3 linked regions of the Anolis sagrei genome follow. The protein of the gene in region 2 purifies or fractionates together with the protein of the main gene of each other region. This does not show direct contact. Links are inferred from orthologs where the notes say so. Each region holds a gene or a part of one and is shown on either strand. Other genes may lie near its edges.

Region 1 (7,896 bases), on a different chromosome or scaffold from region 2:
ATGGTTGGGTCAGTTTGTGGGATGCTGAATCCATGGACACGGAGGAGCCACTATAATACAAAAGGTGTCAACTGTCCATAACAGAATAGTAATTATATATATCCAACTTCAGTGCCGTAATATTGGCCTGAATCCATCAGATGGAGAAATGCAGAGGAGCCAATAATACGAAGGGGACTTTTGAAGGAAAGAAAGAGTCTAAAGCTCGCCTGCCTCCCTTTGCAAAAAGCTGCTTACCGCCCAAAAGGAGGGGCAGGGGCAGAACCCTATAGGGCAAGTCCTGAACTTTGAAAAAGAGCACAACTCAAACTACAAAATTCCATTAGGGTTCTTCTAAGATCTTCAGCACAAAAGTAAACCTTGCATAAGGTTGCAAAGATTCCCAACAAAAGGGGCTGCATCTACACTACATATTTAATTGCAATCAATACCACTTTGAACTGCCATGGAATGCTAGGAGCTATAGTTTGTTGAGGTATCAGAGCTCTTTGCCAGAGAAGGTTTGCAAAACAAAAACAACGATAACACAAACCTTGGCAGTTAAAGTGGTATTAAACTGCATTAATTCTACAGTGTAGGTGCACATAGGCTGCCCCTCAAACTCCGTGCCAAACAACTCCTTCCACCAATTATTTTAAGAACTTCACTTTTCAAAGTTTTTAGTCTTTAGGGTCATCTTCACTGTAGAATTAATCCAGTTTGACACCACTTTAACCGCCATGGCTCAGTGCTATGAATCACGGGAGAAGTGGTTTTTTTCAAGGCCTTTATCCTTTTCTGCCAAGGAGTGAGCCTCACCAAACAACTCCCACAGTCCATAACATTGAGCCATGGCAGTTAAGGAAGTGTCAAACTGGATTAATTCTACAGTGTGCAATGAAGACCAGAAGGAAGGCCCCACTGAATTAAAGAGGACTTTCTTATCCCCAGGTAAAGGTTTCCCCTTGACATTACATCTAGTGGAGTCCAACTCTGGCAAGTGGTGCTCATCTTCATTTCTAAGCTGAAGAGCTGGCATTGTCACCTCCAAGGACATGTGGCCAGCACAATTGCATGGAGTACCATTACCCTCCTACCGAAGCGATACCTATTTATCTACTCACATTTGTATGTTTTTTAATTGCTAGGTTGGCAGAAGCTGGGGCTAACAGCAGGGGCTCATCCCGCTCCCCGGATTCAAACCGCCAAACTTTTTGTCAGCAAGTTCAGCAGCTAAGCAGTGTAACCCACTGCACCACCAGGGACTCCACTCTGATCCCCAATTTCTTGGAATTCTACCATAATGAACTGGATAGTTACTAGTCCCAACAAGAGTTTAATAATAATAATACAGTACAGTATTGCTCATCCAATGTTCTGTATTGTCTAATGCAGGGGTCCTCAAACTAAGGCCCGGGGGCCGGATATGCCCCTCCCAGGTCATTTACCCGGCCCTCGCTCAGGGTCAACCTAAGTCTGAAATGACTTGAAAGCACACACTGAAATACTAATAAGTTTATATTTGTTAAAAATGATCTTCATTTTAATTATTGTATTGTTTTAAAGCATTTTTGGCACTACAAATAAGATATGTGCAGTGTGCATAGGAATTAATTCATGTTTTTTTTTTTCAAATTATAATCCGGCCCTCCAACAGTTTGAGGGACTGTGACCTGGCCCTCTGCTTAAAAAGTTTTTGGACCCTTGATCTAATGCATTCCGAATTCACAGCTGTTTCAATACGATGTGATATTTTGGTGCTAAATCCATAAATACAGCAATTACTACATAACATTACCGTGTATTGAACTGCTTTTTCTGTAAATTTGTTGTAAAACATGATGTTTTGGTGCTTAATTTGTAAAATCATAATGTAATTTGACGTTTAATAGGCTTTTCCTTAATCCCTCCTTATTATCCAACATTTTTGCTTATCCAACGTTCTGCTGGCCCCTTAATGTTGGATAAGCAAGACTCTACTGTAGTAGTAATAATAATAATAATGTTATTAAAATCAAGTGGATGGCTACTAGTCCCAACAAGAGTTGAATAATAATAATAATAATAATAATAATAATGTTATTAAACTGAAGTGAATGGTTATTAGTCCCAACAAGAGTTAAATTATTACTATCGCATTTATTTTACTGAACTGAACAGTCACTAATCCAAACTAGAATAACTATTCTTATTCTTCTTCTTATTATTATAAAAGCAAAATGGCTATTATTTATTTATTTACAACATTTTTACACTGCTTTTCACATTCCTGGGGGGAGTCAAAGCGGTTTCCAAAAAGAATGGCAAAATTCAATGCCTTCCATATATAAACCAAATTATAACTTAAACAGCATATAACTAAGCATAAATTCAATAGGACAATTTGCCATAAGATAAGAGGACATTTAAACATGAAACATAAAAATTAAAAACACCTAATACAAATATTAAAAGCACATATCCAAACTAGTCCCAACTATATCATCATCATCATTATTATTATATCTATTTTATTGAATTGAACTGGATGGCTACTAGCCCCAATAATAATAATAATAATATCTATTTTATTGAATAAATTATTATAATTATTATAATTATTATATTACATTGAACTGGATGGCTACTAGTCCCAATAATGATAATAATATCTATTTTATTTAATATATTATTATTATATTACCTTGAACTACATGGCTACTAGTCCCAATAATAATAATAATAATAATAATAATAATATAGATTTTATTGAATAAATTATTATTATTATATTACCTTGAACTGCATGGCTCCTAGTCTCAACAAGAATTTAATAATAATCATCATCATCATCTTATGGCACTGAACTGGGTGGCTACTAGTCCGAACTAGAGCTAAATAATAATAATAGTAATAATAATAATAGTAGTAGTCTTAATATTTCTCTCTGCTCTGAAAAGAGACTCAACCCGGCCAAGCCTGCAAACAACGCCACTTGCCACTCAAGAACCTGCAACAACAACCATGAAAAAAATCATGTAAGAGTTTCAATCCCTCACCGCCAACTTTCATGCTGCAAGAACGGACGTCGCCGCGCCAAACTCACCGCCAGCGCTCAAACAGGCCGGTGGGTGTGGCCCCACTTGGCCCCGCCCCCTCCGGGCCCAGTCTCATTCACAAGCACCTCCCGCCTCCTTTTTCAGCCTCGAAGCCACGCCCCCCACTTCGAACTCAGCGACCAATTGCTTGCGGTTCCGCCAAAGGGCCTTGACGAAGCCACACCTCCTTCCTGCTTGTTTTTTTTCTTTTTTTCTTTTCAAAAAAGTCACCGCGCGCTCACTTTTTCAAACCCCGCTGGGCTGCTGATTGGACGGGAGGCGGGGCAAAGAGAGCGCCGCCGGGCCGCGATTGGGCAGCAGGACTCCGAAGGGGTGGGGAAGATTCGAACGCTTGGGGCTGGTCGGCACAGGCGCAGATGAGAGCAACAGAAAGCATTCCGGCCCAAGCCTCCCGAGGAATGCCTCCGCAGTGCAGAAGTCATGCCATTCCGTTTCAGTTGAAAGGGCGTGCTTTGATGCAAGGGAATCGCAGTTTTACAATACATAATAGTAATAGTAATAGCATTCTAGGGTTCAAAGGATCTCTTAAGGCCATCTATCCCATCCCTTTATTCTGCCTTCATGCAGGAAAAGCACCATCAAAGCCCTCCCGACAGAGGGCCATCCAGGTTCTGCTTATTAATACTGTAATAATCATATTAGAATCCTAGAGTTGGAAGAGAACCCAAGGGGGCATCTAGTCCAAGCCCCTTTATTCTGCCATGCAGGAAAAGCACCATCAAAGCCCTCTCGACAGATGGCCATCCAGCCTTTGCGGTGATGATAATAATAATAATAGGAGCAACCCCAGGGGGCATCTAGTCCAGCCCCCTTTATTCTGCCATGCAGGAAAAGCACCATCAAAGCACCCCCAACAGGTGACCATCCAGCCTTTGTAGTAGTGATGATAATAATACAATAACAACAACAATAGTAATAAGAGCAACCCTAGGGCCCATCCAGTCCAACCCCCTTCTGCCTTCATGGAGGGAAAGCACTGAAATAGAGCAATGTAGAGCTGTCGTGGATAGTGAGATCCAGACTTCTAGGCTGCTGTGGGCCATGTCTGGGGAGACAAAGAAGCCAATGTTACAGAATGAATCTCACCAAGTTATAGAATCTTAGTTGGAAGAGACCTCGTGAGCCATCCAGTCCAACCCCATCCTGCCAAGAAGCAGGAACATCGCATTCAAAGCACCCCCGACAGATAGACATTCAGCCTGTTTCAAAGCCTCCAAAGAAGGAGCCTCCACCACAGTCCAGGGCAGAGAGTTCCACTGCTGAACAGCTCTCACAGTTAGGAAGTTTGCGTGTGGTGATGGGGTGGGGGTCACACTCGATTACAGCACCGCCAAAGCCCCCTGACAGATGGCCAGGGGGCTCAATAATAATCATAATACAATCATATTATCCTAGATTTGGAAGGAAGCCCAAAAGCCATCTAGCAGGCCCGTAGCCAGGATTTCGTTTCGGGGGGTGGGGTGATTTTTTTTCAGGGGGGGTTTCAGGGGGGCTGAGCTTCGGGGGGGGGGGGGGCTGAGTCTGAGTGAAAGAGGGTCTACCCTAGCAAACATTTTGTATCATTACCCCAATACCCCCATGCATATGGGATATATTGAGTATGGTGATCAGATCATGATATGAATACACATAACAGTTTAAGTAATGCACCAGTAAGGCCTTTTCGCGAACCACCATGAGAATTGGGGGGGGGGGGGCTGCTGAAGCCCCCCGAGGCCCCCCCCCCCGGCTACATGCCTGCCATCTAGTTCAACTCCCTTCTGCTTTCATGCAGGAAAAGCACCATCAAAGCCCCCTGACAGATGGCCATCCAGCCTATGTTTAAAAGCTTCCAATGGATTCCAAGGCAGAGAGTTCCACTACAGCTCTCACAGTTAGGAAGTTTGTATGTGCAGGCGGGAGGGTCACATTCGATTACAGCACCATCAAAGCCTCTTGACAGATGGCCATCCAGCCTCAAAAATAATCATAATACAATCATATTATCCTAGAGTTGGGAGGGAGCCCAAAAGCCAGCTAGTCCCTTCTGCTTTCATGCAGGAAAAGCACCATCAAAGCCCCTGACAGATGGCCACCCAGCCTCTGTTTAAAAGCCTCCAAGGAAGGAGCTTCCAATAAACTCTGAGGCAGAGAGTTCCACTGCCAAACAGCTCTTATTACGGTCAGGAAGTTCTTCCTACTAAAATTCAGGTAGAATGTCCTTTCCTGTCATTTGAACCCATTGCCCTGAATCTCTCCAGAGCAGCAAAATAAATAAATAAATAAAATAATCTTTCAAAAGCCTGTTCCAGTCCTCAAATCTTTCCAGAGTTATCATGCCTCCTTTCGGCTTTTGTTTCTCCAAACTCAACTTAGCCAGCTCCGTAAGCCATTTCGTATAGGCTTACAGAGCCAATCATTCCCACTGATCATTTCAATCGCCATTCTCTGGACAGCATTCCAACTTGAAAATCGTCCCCTTGAAATGCTTTGCCTAGAACTGGACACAGGGTTATTATTCCAGTTGAGAATGTGTTGTCGAGGACAGACCCCCCCCCCCCTCAGGGAATATTAAATTGGCATGGTTGGCACCACAGCTGAGAGTTCCACAGGCCTCGGGTGCCTTCTAAATTAAAGAAATAATTCTCCATCCAGTGGTCTGGAGGAGCCAACCAGCAGCTACCAGCGCCCAGGAGACTTCTCACCCCCCCCCCCACCTTTAATTCCTGCTTCTCCGTCTCTCCTTTTCCTCCCAGAATCCTTCCTTTCTCCTCAGTTCCACATTCCACTGCCAGCCTGGTGGCCACTTGGTCCACATGACCCACATAGCTCCCATGACCTCCCCCCTCTCCCAGATCTAGCAACACTGCTTTCCTTCCTTTTCTTACCTTGGCTAACATTGACCTGTTCCTGGTAAGCCCAATATGTTCTCCCCAAACCGTGGATACCGAGATCTATCATTTGTCCCTCGGTATCCGTGGATGAGTAATCTGTGCTCCTTTCTCACCCCAAGCCCCTCGCTAACCTTTGTTCCCACCTTGAGAGCTCCAATGTGCACCAAAACCATGTTTCTCCTTTGTTTTTCCTTTTTTTTTCACTCAATTGTCCTCAGTGAGAGGGTTCTTTGCTGTGTTGCTGTGGGTTAGACTTCATTAGAAAGAAATATGCTAAGTCACACAGCAGTTAAAGTTATCATGCATCTTTATTGTTCAGAATCCAAGAAATAACCATTCTGCTCACTTTCTAGGGCCTAAACTACAACATCATAAATTACTCAATGGTTGTGGCTCCTTTCCCACAAACCAGAGCCCATCTCCTCTCAGCTCAAGGCAATTGAGTTTTATGGCTGGTTCATATGTCCTAGTAAGATCTTGTCCTCCCTTTTTGCCAAAGGCCATGTGCTCTACTTCAGGGATGTTAGTCAGCTGGCATGAGTGAGGGATCATGACACTCAGATAACCTAACTTTTACTCTACTAACCCTGAAACTGCTTTAGCCTTGCTCACGGATGCCGAGATCTGTTGTTTCTCCCTCGGTATCCGCTGATCACAGCCCTACACGTCCTCTAAGACCCCTGAACCCCCTCACCCAACTCCCACCTCCATAGGTGTCCTGGTTATCCCGGAAGCCTCCATATCCACCAATCTTCACCTTTTTCTGTTTTACCCATCTATTCTCTTATCCATAATTCCCTTGCCCGCACCTCACCCCAAGTCCCATAATCCACATCTACACTAACTTATGCAGATACCAAAACCCAAAGGGGCTCCCAGGTATTCGTGGATTTCTCCTGTTTGTTCCCCCATCCCATGGGCATCACACTACCTATCTATTGGGTTCTCTCGCTGTCCACGGCCCCATATATGTCCATATCTTAGCTTTTCCTCCCCATGGGAGCCAGGGACTCCATAAGGTCAGGTCCTCCTTGACATTCATATACCTCCTGCATATGTGTCCCCTTTGTCCTGTAGCTACTGGGTCTCTGTGGGGTAAGTCCTCCACTATCCGTGAGATCACTTTTGTGTGTTTTATTAAAATTTCTGTATTTTGTGTCTTACTCTAAAATCTTTTTGGAGGAGCTTTGCCACCAAACCTTGTGATGACCTTTTACTCACTTATTGTGACCTAGAAAGTCCAGTCAGCTGTATTCCTGGGCTTTATTTGCATGAAACTGGATTCAATCGCCCTTCACTTTTTGGCTAGTCCATCTCTATTAGCCCCATAGAACTCCAGCTGTGCCAAGGACAACAGGATCCAGAGGTACAGGCCACCTGTCCTTTGCGCAGCTTATTGGACATACAATTACACTCATCGCTTGGCATGGTGGTTCCCAGATAAGAAAGCCATGCCCCGTTGACACACAATAGCATTTCCCCTTTCTCAGCAACTTGCCACTTCATCGTATTAGGATGAACAATACTCTGCCTTGGACTTTTTTGACATTCAGCACCCACTGCACTGCACCCACAAACTGGGGACTCAGATTGTTATCATTTCAACAATAAAGGTTCTTGGGACCTGATGTCCCCTATTGTTTGTCCCTTGCTGGGACCACATAATAACAATAATAATAATAATAATAATAATAATAATAATAACTTTATTTATACCCCACTACCATCTCCCCAAGGGACTCGGTGCGGCTTACATGAGACCGAGCCCACAATACATCAGTTATAAAAACAATAACAACAGTAATACAAACAATAAAATAAAACTCATAACAAAAAATAAGCAATAAACATTAACAGTAACACAACAATGTTTAAGAGACCTATAGCTGGGCCAAATGTAATAATTAAATTTTTAAAAATAATGTTGAGCATAATCCACTCAAGAC
Region 2 (6,937 bases):
CCTTGCCTCCCTATTTTAGAGCCATGCGTGATTCAGGGCATTTTATCCTAGCACTTAAGACCTGGCTTTTTAATAGAACATTTGAGCCATGTTAATTTTAGTATTTGTATGTATGTGTTTTATCCTGTATAATTTCTGCAATGTAAATCGCCTGGAGCATCTCGGATGGAGGGCGATTAATAAGTAATTAAAGATGATGGTGATGATTGTACTCAGGTCAAGAGGTTACAGTCGGGATAGCATATGGAGAAACTGGATGATTTCCAGTTGGCAATGTCCTTAGGCAAGGCTGCCTTTTATTACCCTATCTACTTAGAACACATTATTTGTAAAGGAGGCATAAAAACTGGAGAAATTGGCATACTCCTGTCAATTACAATTACCAAGCATCAACAATGGTCTCCCAAGTCATAGTCCAGTGTTCAGACCATTACACCACGGTGCCTCTTTTTTTATCTGGTTTGTTGCACAACCAGTTGGGAGAAACATCGACACAATTCAAGTTAGTTGTTCCTCTCCCCTAGTCATGTTCATTATGACTGTAAATAGCTCTCAAGGAACTTAGGCCCTTTCTACACTGCCATATAATCCAGATTATCAAAGCAGAAAATCCACATTATCTTCTTTGAACTGGATTATATGAGTTTCCATTGCCACTTCAAAACTTATCATCTGGATTTTATATGGCAATGTAGAAGAGGCCTCAGAGGGACAACTTTCAACCCACTTTTCCCTTGCAGTTTTGGGCAGAGAATGCAATCATAGGGTCTGCATGGTTCTCCAGTTTTTCTCCAAATATTTTGGCCGTCAACTCCCATAATCCTTGCTGCTGGGGCTTCCGGGAAATTAAGCCAAAAAGCATCCGGAGGTACAAAGATTGAAAACTATTACTTGAGTCTAGGCAGTTGTTTGCCTAACTGGCTGTGAAGCTAATATACTTATGGCATATTAGTCACTTACGTAATAACAATATACGTAAGAATTGGGCATGTGTAAGAACATGTTATATTGTTTCACCTACCCTGCATTCTTTACTCTGCAAGTTCTCAGGAAGCATTTTAAAGTTTTATGTTTTTGGATTTCTGCTTCTAGTTTACACTATTGTTTATTTTACAGAGCTATTTGCATTTCTTTAGGTAAATTAATTTCCCACAAGACTTTGAAACTAACCATGCCTTTCTGAAAAGGTTGCTAAAGCAAGCATAGTGAATGTGCAGTTCTCTAGACATTGCTGGACTGCAACTCCAATCACAGTCCTTACCATTGGCTATGCTGGCTAGGTTGATGGAATATATAGTCCCACAACATTTGGAGACCACACATTGCTGATCTCAGTTGTCTAACCTATGTCTCTCTGCAGTAACATTTTCTGCAATGAGTCAAAACTACACATTTGTATTTGTATGTCTATCCATTTGTCTACTCTGCCCTCTAATGGGCAACAGTGAGATGAGCTGCCCTAGTGTATCTATATAAATAAAAATGTAATGCTCATTTGTGGGATTAACAGAACTCAAAAACCACTGGGGGAATTGACACCAAATTTGGACACAAGATACCTAACAACCCATTATTCAAAAAAATTGATTTTGTTATTTGGGAGTTGTAGTTGCTGGGATTTATAGTTCACCTACAATCAAAGAGCATTCTGAACTCCACCAATGATGGAATTGGGCCAAGCTTAGCACACAGGGCTCCCATGACCAACAGAAAAACTGGAAGAGTTTGGTGGACATTGACCTTGAGTTTGGGAATTGTAGTTCACCCACATCCCTCCTGACAAAGAGCCATCCAGTCATAAATATAGATAGATAGATAGATAGATAGATAGATAGATACGATTCTCTCTCACACACAGAGATATAGTATCATAGATTTGAAAGACACCCTTAAAGAAGGGCAATGATATGTTGCATATTCCAGAGTAGGCAAACCAGACAGTTTGGTCCAGATCCATCATTGTTTGAGTCCACAGTGCTCTCCGGATGTAGGTGAACTACAACTCCCAAACTCAAGGTCAAACCCTTCCAGTGTTTTCTGTTGGTCATGGAAGTCCTGTATGCCATGTTTGGTTGAATTCCATAATTGGTGGAGTTCAGAATGCTCTTTGATTGTAGGTGAACTATAAATCCCAGAAACTACAACTCCCAAATGTCAAGGTCTATTTTCCCCAAACTCCACCAGTGTTCACATTTGGGCATATTGAGTATTCGTATAGAGTTTGGTCTAGATCCATCATTGTTTGAGTCCACAGTGCTCTCTGGATGTAGGTGAACTACAACTCCAAAATCAAAGAACACTGCCCACCAAATCCTTCCAGTATTTTCTGTTGGTCATGGGAGCCCTGGGTGCTAAGTTTGGCCCAATTCCATCATTAGTGGAGTTCAGAATGCTCTTTGATTGCAGGTGAACTATAAATCCCAGCAACTACACCTCCCAAATGACAAAATCAATTTTTTTGAGTGAAGGACATACATTGGGTTGTTAGGTGTCTTGTGTCCAAATTTGGTGTCAATTCCCCCAGTGGTTTTTGTGTTATGTTATTCCCACAAATGAACATTACACTTTTATTTATATAGACTAGCCATCCCTTGCCACGGGTTGCTGTGGCCCACATGGGGGTTCTGTGTGGGAGGTTTGGCCCAATTCTATTGTTGGTGGGGTTCAGAATGCTCTGTGATTGTAGGTGAATTATAAATTCCAGCAACCACAACTCCCAAATGTCAAGATTCTATTTTCCCCAAACTCCACCAGTGTTCACATTTGGGCATATTGAGTATTCTTGTAGACTTTGGTGCAGATCCATAATTGTTTGAGTCCACAGTGCTCTCTGGATGTGGAAGAACTACAATTCCCAAACTCAAGGTCAATGTCCACCAAACCCTTCCAGTTTTTTCTGTTGGTCATGGAAGTCCTGTATGCCATGTTTGGTTCAATTCCATCATTGGTGGAGTTCAGAATGCTCTTTGATTGTAGGTGAACCAGAAATCCCAGCAATGACAACTCCCAAATGTCAAGGTCTATTTCCCTTAAACTCCATCTGTGTTCATATTTGGGCATATGGAATATTTGTGCCAAGTTTGGTCCAGATCCATCATTGTTTGAGTCCACAGTGCTCTCTGGATGTAGGTGAACTAGCTGGAATGTGTCCAGAGGAGGGCGACTAAAATGATCAAGGGTCTGGAGAACAAGCCCTATGAGGAGCGCCTTAAAGAGCTGGGCATGTTTAGCCTGAAGAAGAGAAGGCTGAGAGGAGATATGATAGCCATGTATAAATATGTGAGAGGAAGCCACAGGGAGGAGAAGGGAGCAAGCTTGTTTTCTGCTTCCTTGGAGACTAGGACGAGGAACAATGTCTTCAAACTAACTACAAGAGAGGAGATTCCATCTGAACATGAGGAAGAACTTCCTGACTGTGAGAGCCGTTCAGCAGTGGAACTCTCTGCACCGGAGTGTGGTGGAGGCTCCTTCTTTGGAAGCTTTTAAACAGAGGCTGGATGGCCATCTGTCAGGGGTGATTTGAATGCAATATTCCTGCTTCTTGGCAGGGGGTTGGACTGGATGGCCCATGAGGTCTCTTCCAACTCTTTGATTCTATGATTCTATGATTTTATAGGGCTATGTGGAAGGACCCAAGAGCTGGGAAGCCTCTCTAAGCAGGAGAGTCTATTTATACCATTGGAAATTATTCCAAAGAAATTTAAGAGGGTTTATGGACACTTATGTATCAACATGGCGTTACGTCATCAATACGTGCCCTGCCTCGCGATTTTTAATTTCTTGTTGCTGTTCCTTTTCTTCTCTGTTTCCTGCGCCCGCCCGCCTGGCCTCGGCTCGAGCCAAGACCGCTCTTCCGCAGCGCTTTGGCGCCGGTGGTTTGCCGCGCGCTGATTGGCCGTTTTGAAAGCGGCGGCCCGTCCTTATTGGCGCGTTGGCGGCGGCTCGGCGCGGTTCATTTGAATCCGCCTCTTGCTCGGCTGCCTGAGGGAGACTTGCAGAGAGAGGAGCGCGGCGTGGGTCTGGAGGGGCAGCGCCCACGGATGAAGCACGGGTAAGGGGCGAGGTGGTGTTGGGGGACCCCCTTTTCGACACTCTCCAGAAAGCCACACTAGTTGGGAATCTCAGCCTCATGGAACACCGTTCAGACTGAGAGAAAGGAGTTGCTAGCATAGTTTTCCATGCATTGCAGCACCCAGAATTCCCCCAGCCATCTACTGCGTCTACACTGTGGAATGAATGCAGTTTGGCTCCACTATAACTGCCATGGAATCCTCAGAGTTGTCGTTTGGGCCCTTTTTGGCCTTGTAAAGACTCCAACTCCCACGATCCCTGGGCAGTTGAAGTGGAGTCCACATTTATTCATTTACTAGCTTGGGGACCCGGCGTTGCCTGGGTTATTAGAGAAAGTGGGTAATGGCGGTTCTGTATGCCAAGTTTGGTCTTTATTGGTCTTTGGATAACGGCTGCATTATTTTCAGGAAGTGAGTGAAGGCACTTAGTCCCATCATCCATGGCCCATCCTCCTCCAAACAGCAGCAGGATATAGAGTGGGTCATGGGGGCTCTGTGTGCCAACTTTGGTCTTGATTGGTCATTAGATGAGTTTTGCAGCAGTCTTGGGGAGTGGAGGTACTTGAAGTCCCATCATCCATTATCTGTCCTCCTCCAAACTGCACCAGGATGTAGAGTGGGTCATTGGAGCTCCATGTGCCAAGTTTAGTCTTGATTAGTCATTGGCGAGGGTCTCAGTGGTCTCAGGAAGTGAGTGAAGTGACTGCAAGTCCCATCATCCATTGTCAAATTCTTCCAAACCGCACCAGGATGTAGAGTGGGTTATGCTGGGTCTCTGTAAATTGTGCTCCTGATCCATCATTGTTGGCAGTTGTAATGGTCTTAGAAAGGGAGTGCAGGTATTGCAAGTCCCATCGTCCATGGTGCATCCTCCTTCAAACTGCACCTGGATGTAGAGTGCGTCATGGAGTCTCAGTGTGCCAATTTTGGTCTTTGTCGGTAATTGGATGGGAGTTGCAGTGGTCTCAGGAATTGAACAAAGGTACTGCAAGTCCCATAATCCATGGTCCATCCCTGGCCAAATCACACCAGATATAGATTTATTTACTGTATTTATATCCCCTCTTTCGAACCCCATAGGGCAGTGTTTCTCAACCTTCCTAATGCCATGACCGCTTAATACAGTTCCTCATGTTGTGGTGACTCCCAACCATAAAATTATTTTTGTTGCTACTTCATAACTGTAATTTTGCTTCTGTTATTAATTGAAGACAATTATGCTGGGGAAAGTGGAAGGTAAAAGGAAGAAGGGCCGACCAAGGGCAAGATGGATGGATGGCATCCTTGAAGTGACTGGACTGACCTTGAAGGAGCTGGGGGTGGTGACGGCCGACAGGGAGCTCTGGCGTGGGCTGGTCCGTGAGGTCACGAAGAGTTGGAGACGACTGAATGAATGAACAACACAACAATTAATTGTAAAGTGAATATCTGATATGCAGGATGTATTTTCACTCACTGGACCAAATTTGGCACAAATATCCAATACGCCCAAATTTGAACACTGGTGGGGCTGGGGGAGGGGTTGTCATTTGGGAGTTGTAGTTGCTGGGATTTATAGTTCACCTACAATCAAAGAGCATTCTGAAGTCCACCAGCAATGGAATTGAACCAAACTTGGCACACAGAACTCCCATGGCCATCAGAAAATCCTGGAAGGATTTGGTGGGCACTGACCTTGAATTTTGGAGTTCTAGTTCACCTACATCTAGAGAGCACTGTGCACTCAGTGATGGATCTGGACCAAACTTGATCTGGATACTCAAGATGCCGAAATGTGAACACTGGTGGAGTTTGGGGGAAACAGACCTTGACATTTGGGAGTTGTAGTTGCTGGGATTTATAGTTCACCTACCATCAAAGAGCATTCTGAACCCCACCAACAATAGAATTGGGCCAAATTGCCCACACAAAACCTCTATGACCAACAGAAATTACTGTTTTCTAATGGTCTTTGGCGACCCATCTGACATCCTCTTGTGTCCCGACCCCCAGGTTGAGAAACGCTGCCATAGGGGGAATCAAGGCGGATTACAAAATACTAATGACAAAAATTCAATGCCAACATACATGTAAAAAGAAAAAAAATCATTTTTTGTTGTGTCAGGAGCGACTTGAGAAACTGCAAGTCGCTTCTGGTGTGAGAGAATTGGCCGTCTGCAAGGACGTTGCCCAGGGGACGCCCGGATAATTTTGATGTTTTTATTATCCTTGTGGGGGGCTTCTCTCATGTCCCCACATGAGGAGCTGTAGCTGATAGAGGGAGCTCATCCGCCTCTCCCTGGATTCGAACCTGCGACCTGTAGGTCTTCAGTCCTGCCGGCACAGGGGTTTAACCCACTGCGCACCAGGGACTCAAAAAAAATCATAGTAACTAAACACTAACATATAGCTATGCATTAAAATCATTAAAACCACAAAATAGAAGGCATAAACAACATTTAAACATTAAGACAAAGCATTAAAAAACATTTTAGTATAAATATTAAAATAACACGATCCAGTTCAGGTTGAGTATTCCTTATCTGAAATGCTTTGGACCAGAAGTGTTGCATATTTTGAATCGTCCTGTATTTTGGAATATTTGCATATATTTAATAAGATATCTTGGTAACGGGATCCAAGTCTAAACAGGAATTCATTATACACATTATACATGTAAGGTCAATTATTACTTTAATAATTTTGTGTATGGTTACACTGAACACTCAGAAAACAAAAGGGTCACTATCTCAGCTGCCCTCATTGGACCCTCCTGGATTCCAAGGTATTTTGGGAAGGATTCATTCCTCAATGTCGATGCTACACAATCCTTTTGCATACTAGTCTTTTTTTTTAAAGAGTCCATGCATTTCCTTTTCCTGTTTGTG
Region 3 (7,019 bases), on a different chromosome or scaffold from region 2:
TCCTGGACATTATTCCACAGATATATCAACCCCACTTGCCCAGTTTTCAACAGACTTCTGAGGATGCCTGCCATAGATGTGGGTGAAATGTCAGGAGAGAATGCTTCTGGAATGTGGCCATACAGCCTGGAAAACTCACAGCAACCCAATAACAATAATAAATATCCTATTGAAGGGATTAGGAATTGCTTCTGAAAAATGTGTATATGGGACTGCCTCCCAACTTGGAATTGGTGAGCTTTAAGACTCTTGTACTCAACCTCTGATCATATAGGTTGTTTCTGAGTTTTCCGGGCTGTATAGCCATATTACAGAAGCATTCAGAAGCAAACACGGCCATACAGCCCAGAAAACTCACAGCAACCCAGTGATTCCGACCATGAAAGCCTTCAAAAACTCACTCTCTCTCTCTCTCTCTCTCTATATATATATATTCATTCAATTATATGCTTCCCATATATGCCCATTTGCACACGCTGGAGTAAAGTTTGTAAAGGTAATGGTGGAAAGAATTCAAAGTGAGCAAACCGCATGAAGTTTTCAGTCCTAAACATTAGAGGAAGGGAATCTGTCTAGGAGATCTGAAATTGAAGAATTGATCAGCCTGGTTTCTTTATCAGTGTGGCTTGAGGGTTTTTAGTTTTCTGAAGAGACAAAAGTACGAAATTACCAGTAATTCGCTGGGTCTAATGGAGTTATCAGTGTAAATACACAGTTTTTCTGCAGTGAGAGGAATGGTTTCCTTCATTTTGGAGGCAACGAACATACAGGTAGCTCCCAGCAGTTGCAAGTGGCTTTTCTTAAGGGGTTCGAAAGAGAGATATCGGTCCAAATAATTCATAGCTAAGGGGAATACTTCTTCTTCGCACTTCTGCTCCTCACAAACCTGAAGGGAAAATAGGGGAAAAAAACAAAACAAAAAAACGGGGAAGGGAAAAACAAGAAACAAATCCTTACTTTTTTGAACCAACTTTTTCTTCCACACAAGAATGGTGAAGAAAATCCAATGAAATGAATTTCCCACTTTTATAAAAACCAAATGAACCAAGTCAATAAATGTGTTGAGAGTGTAAGGAGAGAAAAGAACTGAAAGAGAAAGTCGCAAGGGAAGTTGGAAAAACGTGGTCGGGGACTGAGGAGGCGAAATAAAAAGGCGAACAGGCTTTTGAAAAGCCCGAAATTAAGAAGCGACCCCCCAAAGTAGTTAGAAGTAGGTCTGCTTGGAGATATTTTTTGGGGGGTGTATAGCTGAGGTGCCCCCTATTGGCTCCCATTGGCTTGGGTGCTGCCTCCCCCCCTCCTCGCTCGAGACACAAAGGTGGCGTCGAAGAGGCAGCTGCACGCTTTTTCCCCAGACGTCATCTTTTCAAAAAATATTTAAAAATGTTTAAAAAATCACCAGCGCTTCCAAAAGTAGCTGAAAACAAACCCCGGGCGATTCTTTACCGATCCCTCATGAGAAGAATCACGGGGGATCCTCTGGTGGGACACCCCGAAGTCAAACTCCAGCACCCCCCATTCCTCTCCAAGCTCTCTCTTCTTGAGAAGCAACGTGCGACATTTGCCACCCGGGGGGCTTTCAAAAATTAATTAAAAATACTTCCCGGGCGCGGATTTTTTCGGGAAAGGGCTGAAAATGTAGCCCAAAGCCGGCTGCTTCTGATGGGACCCCTTTGAAGCGCCTCCTCCAAAGGGGGACCCCGATTTGCACTTGTTTTTGTACTGGGCGACCTTGCCGACAAGTCTCTGCAGGAGAAAGCAAGCACGTCTTCCGGGCGGGGGTGGGGAGGGGGGGAGGAGAGGAAGACCAGGGGTTTTCTCTCTCTCTGTGCGAACAAAGAAAAGTTTCTCCCCAAAGTTTGCAAGCCCAAAGCCCAGGGACCCCCCCCCCCCACCCTCAAGGGAAGTTTCTCGCCTCCTAATGATTAATAAACCCTTGCAATAAAAGAACAAAGATGGCGCAGAATACTGGCACGGGGAGCACTTGCATACGTGTCCATGGATATTAAATCTAAAATCAAAATCCCCCCCTGGGAGGCCCGGGGAGGCTCGAGGGAAAGGCCAGAAGGGAAGGCAGGAGCCGGGGCGCCTGGGCGAGGAAGCAGCCCACGCTTCGCTCCCAGGACCCTGCCTTTCGGGCTCATTCAAAAGTTCGCCTCCAAAGGTGACAGCGAGAGAAAGGAGGCCTGGCTTCGGGTGCAGGAAACGCCGGGGAAAGAGAGGAAAGGGAGGCAGGGAGAAAGCAGCCCAGGAGGAAAGGCTATCTTCGGGTGGAGGAAATGCCGGAGAGAGGAAAGAGAGGCAGGCAGAGGAAGCCCAGGCTTGCAATCCCCTTTCTCTCTCTCTCTTTCCAAGCAGAGGTTCTGCAGGGCTGGTCTGACTATTACTAAGTTAGTCTTGCAATCCCCTTTCTCTCTCTCTCTCTCTCCAAGCAAGGGTGGTTTGACTATTGCCAAGGAAGCCCAAGCTTGCCATTCCTTTCCTCCTTCTCTCTCGCTCTCTCTCTCGGAATGGTTACCAACCTCCAGCATCCAAGTGGCCACGATTTTCCTCATATATGGTAAGATCTCCTTCTGGACGCACTTGAAGTAGGAGACGGAGGGCGAGCAGGTCTCCTCGGCCTTGAGCATGGCCTGCAGGACCCGGTCGTTGAGGAGGTTGGCATCTTGGTAGGCTCTCCGGATGGTCTCCACTTCGCAGCAGAGCAGCTGGTGATCCATGCCGACGCCTCGCCTCTCTCTCTTTCTCTCTCTCTCCCCGCGTGCTTCCTCTCTTCCTTATGCTGTTCTTGCGAGGCTTTGTTTCTTTTCTCTCCGGAGGGAGTCTTGTTTCCAGGCTGCTCTTCTTCTCCTTCTTCTCCTTCCCTGGTTGCTCGGATGCTGCTGGCTGGGCTGACTCTCCTGCAGCAGCAGCAGCAGCAACGACTCCTCCTGCTTCGCTTCGCTGGTGCTACCGCTTGCTGCTGCTCCAGCCCTCTGGAGGCTGCGGGGAAACTTTCCAAACTTCCACCCTGCCGCCTGAGCCCCCTCTTGTGACGTGACTGTTGTTAAGCGGAGATCAAAGAATGCGAAGGAAGGAGAGAGCGAGCGAGGAAGGAGGGAGGGAGGGAGAGAGGGAGGGAGGGAGAGGAGCCAAAAGCAAGGGGCAGAGCCCTAAAGCCATCCCATCGCCTCCAAGGCCTTCCCCTTCGCCGCAGTTCAAGCAGGAGGAGGAGGAGAAGCAGCAGCAGCAGCAGCAAGGCGCTTACCCCCCCCTTCTCTCTCTCTCTCTTTTGCATACCCATGCAAATGAGCACTAAAGATCCCCCCCTCTCTTTTTTTTCCCGGGGAGGGGGAAAAAGAAGCAAATTGTCTTTCCAGTGCATTAGGCAGGATATGTTTAATAATAATGATGGTGATGATGGTGATAATAATGCGGGCTTTATGCAGCTGGTGCAGAATACAATGGGGGAAGTAGGCCACGGCCACACACAGGCAAACTTGAGGCCTGGGCAAACTTGGGCCCTCCCAAGTGTTTGGGGGTGCAACTCCTACCCTTCTTCACAGCTTCAGGCCCCTTCCTCTCCCCCCCCCCCACTTCATCCAGTTTAAGCTGTATAGCCATGTTCCAAAAGCATAGAAACATCACTTACTTGTGACTTCATCACATTGAAAAAAAATCCCCCTTAAATCCGGTTTGTGCCTCCTGCTTTGGAGTGCAACTCCCACCATTCCTCACAGCCTCAGGCCCGGAGACCTGGACCAACTTGGAGTACAACTCTCACCATTCCTCACAGCTTTACCCCCCCCCCCCCCCAATCATCCAGCTTAAACTGTAAAGCCATATTCCAAAAGCATAGAAACCTCACTTATGACTTCATCACACTAGAGAAAAAATCCACTTTAAATCCGGTTTGTACCTCCTGTTTTGGAGTGCAACTCCCACCATTCCGCACAGCCTCATGCCCCTTCCTCCCCACACAAGTCAGCTTAAGCTATATGGCCATGTTCCAAAAGCATAGAAACCTCACTTATGACCTCATCACATTACAGAAAAAAATCCACTTTAAATCCAGTTTCTGCCTCCTGCAGAATTCTCCTTGTAGTTTAGTGACACTGTTAAAGGCTCCTTCCTAAACTACAAACCCCAGAATTCTGCAGGAAGCAGAAACCGGATTTAATGTGGATTCTTTCTCTAGTGTGATGAGTCCCTTTGCTGTTGTAGGTTTTTTGGGCTGTATGTTCTAGAAGCATTCTCTCCTGACATTTTGCCTGCATCTATGGCAGGCAGCCTCAGAGGTTGTGAGGTATACCTGCCATAGAAGCAGGCGAAATGTCAGGAGAGAATGCTTCTAGAACATGGCGGTACAGCCTGAAAAACCTACAGCAACCCAGTGATTCTGGCCATGAAAGGCTTCGACAATACATTCTCCTGTTTAAGTTTCCAACACACCTCTCAACCTCTGAGGATGCCTGCCATAGATGCAGGCGAAACGTCAGGAGGGAATGCTTCTGGAAAATGAGTGATACAGCCCGGAAAACACAGCAACCCAGTGATTGGCTCAAACTTTTCCCATAGGATATAGAGGTCCCTTCAAAGATTGGGGTTGAAATCTGGACACTTTGGGGGGGGGGGGGTCCAGCTGCCAGTTTTGGACCTACCACGTGGCTGCAGAATGCCAGCCAGATCTTTGGGATCAGGGGGGTTGATTTCCCCCCTTTCCATCTAAAAACACACTTGGAAACCAGGTTTACTTCTTCCAAGATGGGGAACAAAGGCAGCATTGAGAGAGAGGGAGCAGAGCTGGAAGTTGCAGCGTCTCTTTAAAGCAGGCCTGGGCCAACTTGGGCCCTCCAGGTGTTTTGGAGTGCAACTCCCACCATTCCCAGAGCCTCAGGCCCCTTCCTTTTCCCCCTCAGCTTAGAAGGAGAAACGTGGTGGGGCTTCAACGCCACGTGGTAGGTCCAAAACTGGCAGCTGGAGCCCCCAAAATGTAGATTTCAGCCCCAAATCTTTGAATGGGCCCCTACATCATATGGGGAAAGGATCAGCCATTCATTTCCGCAGGGCGACCTGTTTGTTGGAGTTGAATCTCTGGCAGGAATTAAAGGCGCAGAGAGGGATTAAAGAAAGTTGAGTTGTTGTGAGTTTTCCGGGCTGCATGACCACGTTCCAGAAGCATTCTCTCCTGGCGTTTCGCCTGCATCTGTGATGCAGGCGAAACGCCAGGAGAGAATGCTTCTGGAACATGGCCATGCAGCCCGGAAAACTCACAGCAACCCAGTGTTTCCGGCCTTGAAAGCCGACAATACATTAAGGAAAGTTGCATTCTACTTCAAGGAGTCCCGCAATGGGTCTCGGAAGGGGCAGGGCGGCCTTCCTTTGTGCCTTGACTTCAGGAGACACATTCCCCAAGCCGCGTGGCTCAAGGGAAGGAAGTCAATGGGGGCGAGAGAGGTGGAACTCGGAAGTCTGCCCCGTCCGGCTTCCGGGGATCTTCTCTTTCCCCCGGTTGGTGGGTCTGGCCCGTTTCACCCACAAGCCCGGGCTTCCTGGGCGACTGGCTCCCTCGCGCTGCCTTGCCTCCAGGGAGGGCGCCTTCCTTGGGCTGGAGCCGAGCCTCGCTCGAGGCAACTCCCCGCAAATTCCAGGCACGCCTTGGGATGCAAACTTCCCAGGATGATACGTGTTGTCCAAGGCTTTCCTGGCCGGAATCGCTGGGCTTGCTGTGCGATTTCCGGGGTGTCTGGCTATGTTTCAGAATCATTCTCTCCTGACGTTTCGCCCACATCTATGGCAGGCATCCTCAGAGGTTGTGAGGTCTGTTGGAAACTAGGCAAGTGGGGTTTATATATCTGCGGAATGTCCAGGGTGGGAGAAAAAACTCTTGTCTGCTCGAGGCAACTATGAATGTTGCAATTGACCACCTTAATTGGCATTAAATGGCCTTGCAGCTTCAAAGCCCGGCTGCTTCCTGAATGGGGAAGCCTTTTTTGGGAGAAGTTAGCCAGTCTTTGAAGCTGCAAAGCCATTCAATGCTAATCAAGTGAGGTTTATATATGTGGGAGAAAGAACTCTTGTCTGCTTGAGGCAAGTGTGAATGCTGTAGTTGGCCACCTTGATTAGCATCAAATGGCCTTGCAGCTTCGAAGCCCGGCTGCCTCCTGCCTGGGGAAGCCTTTGTTGGGAGGAGTTAGCCAGTCTTCGAAGCTTCAATGCTAATCAAGTGAGGCTAATATCTTTGAAAGGTCCAGGGTGGGAGAAAGAACTCCTGTCTGCTGGAGGCAAGTGTGAATATTGATTAGCATTGAATGGCCTTGCAGCTTCAAAGCCTGTCTGACACCTCCCAACAAAGGATTGCCCCAGACAGGAAGCAGCCAGGCTTTGATCCTGCAAGGGTATTCAATGCTAATCAAGGTGGCTAACTGCAACATTCACACTTGTCTCAAGCAGACAAGAGTTCTTTTTTCCACCCTGGACCTTCCAGGTATATAAACCTCACTTGATTCGCGCTGAATGGCCTTGCAGCTTCAAAGCCTGGCTGCTTCCTGCCTGCGGGGAACCTTTGTTGGGAGGGGTTAACCAGTCTTTGAAGTTGCGAGGCCATTCAATGCTAATCAAGGTGGCCAACTGCAGCATTCACACTTGCCTCAAGCAGACAAGAGTTCTTTCTTCCACCGTGGACGTTCCAGATATCTAAACCTCACTTGATTAGCATTGAATGGCCTTGCAGCTTCAAAGACTGGCTAACCCCTCCCAGCATTCCACGGATAGATTAACCCCCAATTGATTGCCCATTTTCCTAGTTTCCAACAGACCTCCCAACTTCAGGGGATGCCTGCCATAGAGGTGGGCGAAACGTCAGGAGAGAATGCTTCTGGAAAGCATCGCCCGAAAAGGCACAGCAATGCAATTCAAGGACCTGGTTTTGGCATAAGAATCACCCGGACTTCCCCAATTTGGGGGTTCTTCTATTCTGATCCCGGGGGAGGATTGTGCCCATGCCTCTCCTCTCGCTTGCCCTGGCGCTCCTGCAATGG

What was found. The genes of interacting proteins can lie anywhere in the genome.
Region 1: the proteins of CDK1 (region 2) and CCNF purify together in Homo sapiens (affinity purification with mass spectrometry; 3 studies listed by BioGRID, with this or other methods). This does not show direct contact. The link is inferred for Anolis sagrei from reciprocal best matches to the Homo sapiens genes CDK1 and CCNF.
Region 3: the proteins of CDK1 (region 2) and CCND1 purify together in Homo sapiens (affinity purification with mass spectrometry; 4 studies listed by BioGRID and IntAct, counting the BioPlex papers as one, with this or other methods). This does not show direct contact. The link is inferred for Anolis sagrei from reciprocal best matches to the Homo sapiens genes CDK1 and CCND1.

Annotation. Positions count from the first base shown.
Region 1 is NC_090034.1:27,930,340-27,938,235, forward strand, and holds the start of CCNF (cyclin-F), read right to left. Parts: upstream 3,100-7,896; 5' UTR 3,031-3,099; coding exon 3,018-3,030; intron 1-3,017. UniProt on the Homo sapiens protein: Substrate recognition component of a SCF (SKP1-CUL1-F-box protein) E3 ubiquitin-protein ligase complex which mediates the ubiquitination and subsequent proteasomal degradation of target proteins.
Region 2 is NC_090023.1:165,444,927-165,451,863, forward strand, and holds the start of CDK1 (cyclin-dependent kinase 1), read left to right. Parts: upstream 1-3,935; 5' UTR 3,936-4,051; intron 4,052-6,937. UniProt on the Homo sapiens protein: Plays a key role in the control of the eukaryotic cell cycle by modulating the centrosome cycle as well as mitotic onset; promotes G2-M transition via association with multiple interphase cyclins.
Region 3 is NC_090021.1:266,611,904-266,618,922, reverse strand, and holds the start of CCND1 (G1/S-specific cyclin-D1), read right to left. Parts: upstream 3,100-7,019; 5' UTR 2,721-3,099; coding exon 2,523-2,720; intron 887-2,522; coding exon 671-886; intron 1-670. UniProt on the Homo sapiens protein: Regulatory component of the cyclin D1-CDK4 (DC) complex that phosphorylates and inhibits members of the retinoblastoma (RB) protein family including RB1 and regulates the cell-cycle during G(1)/S transition.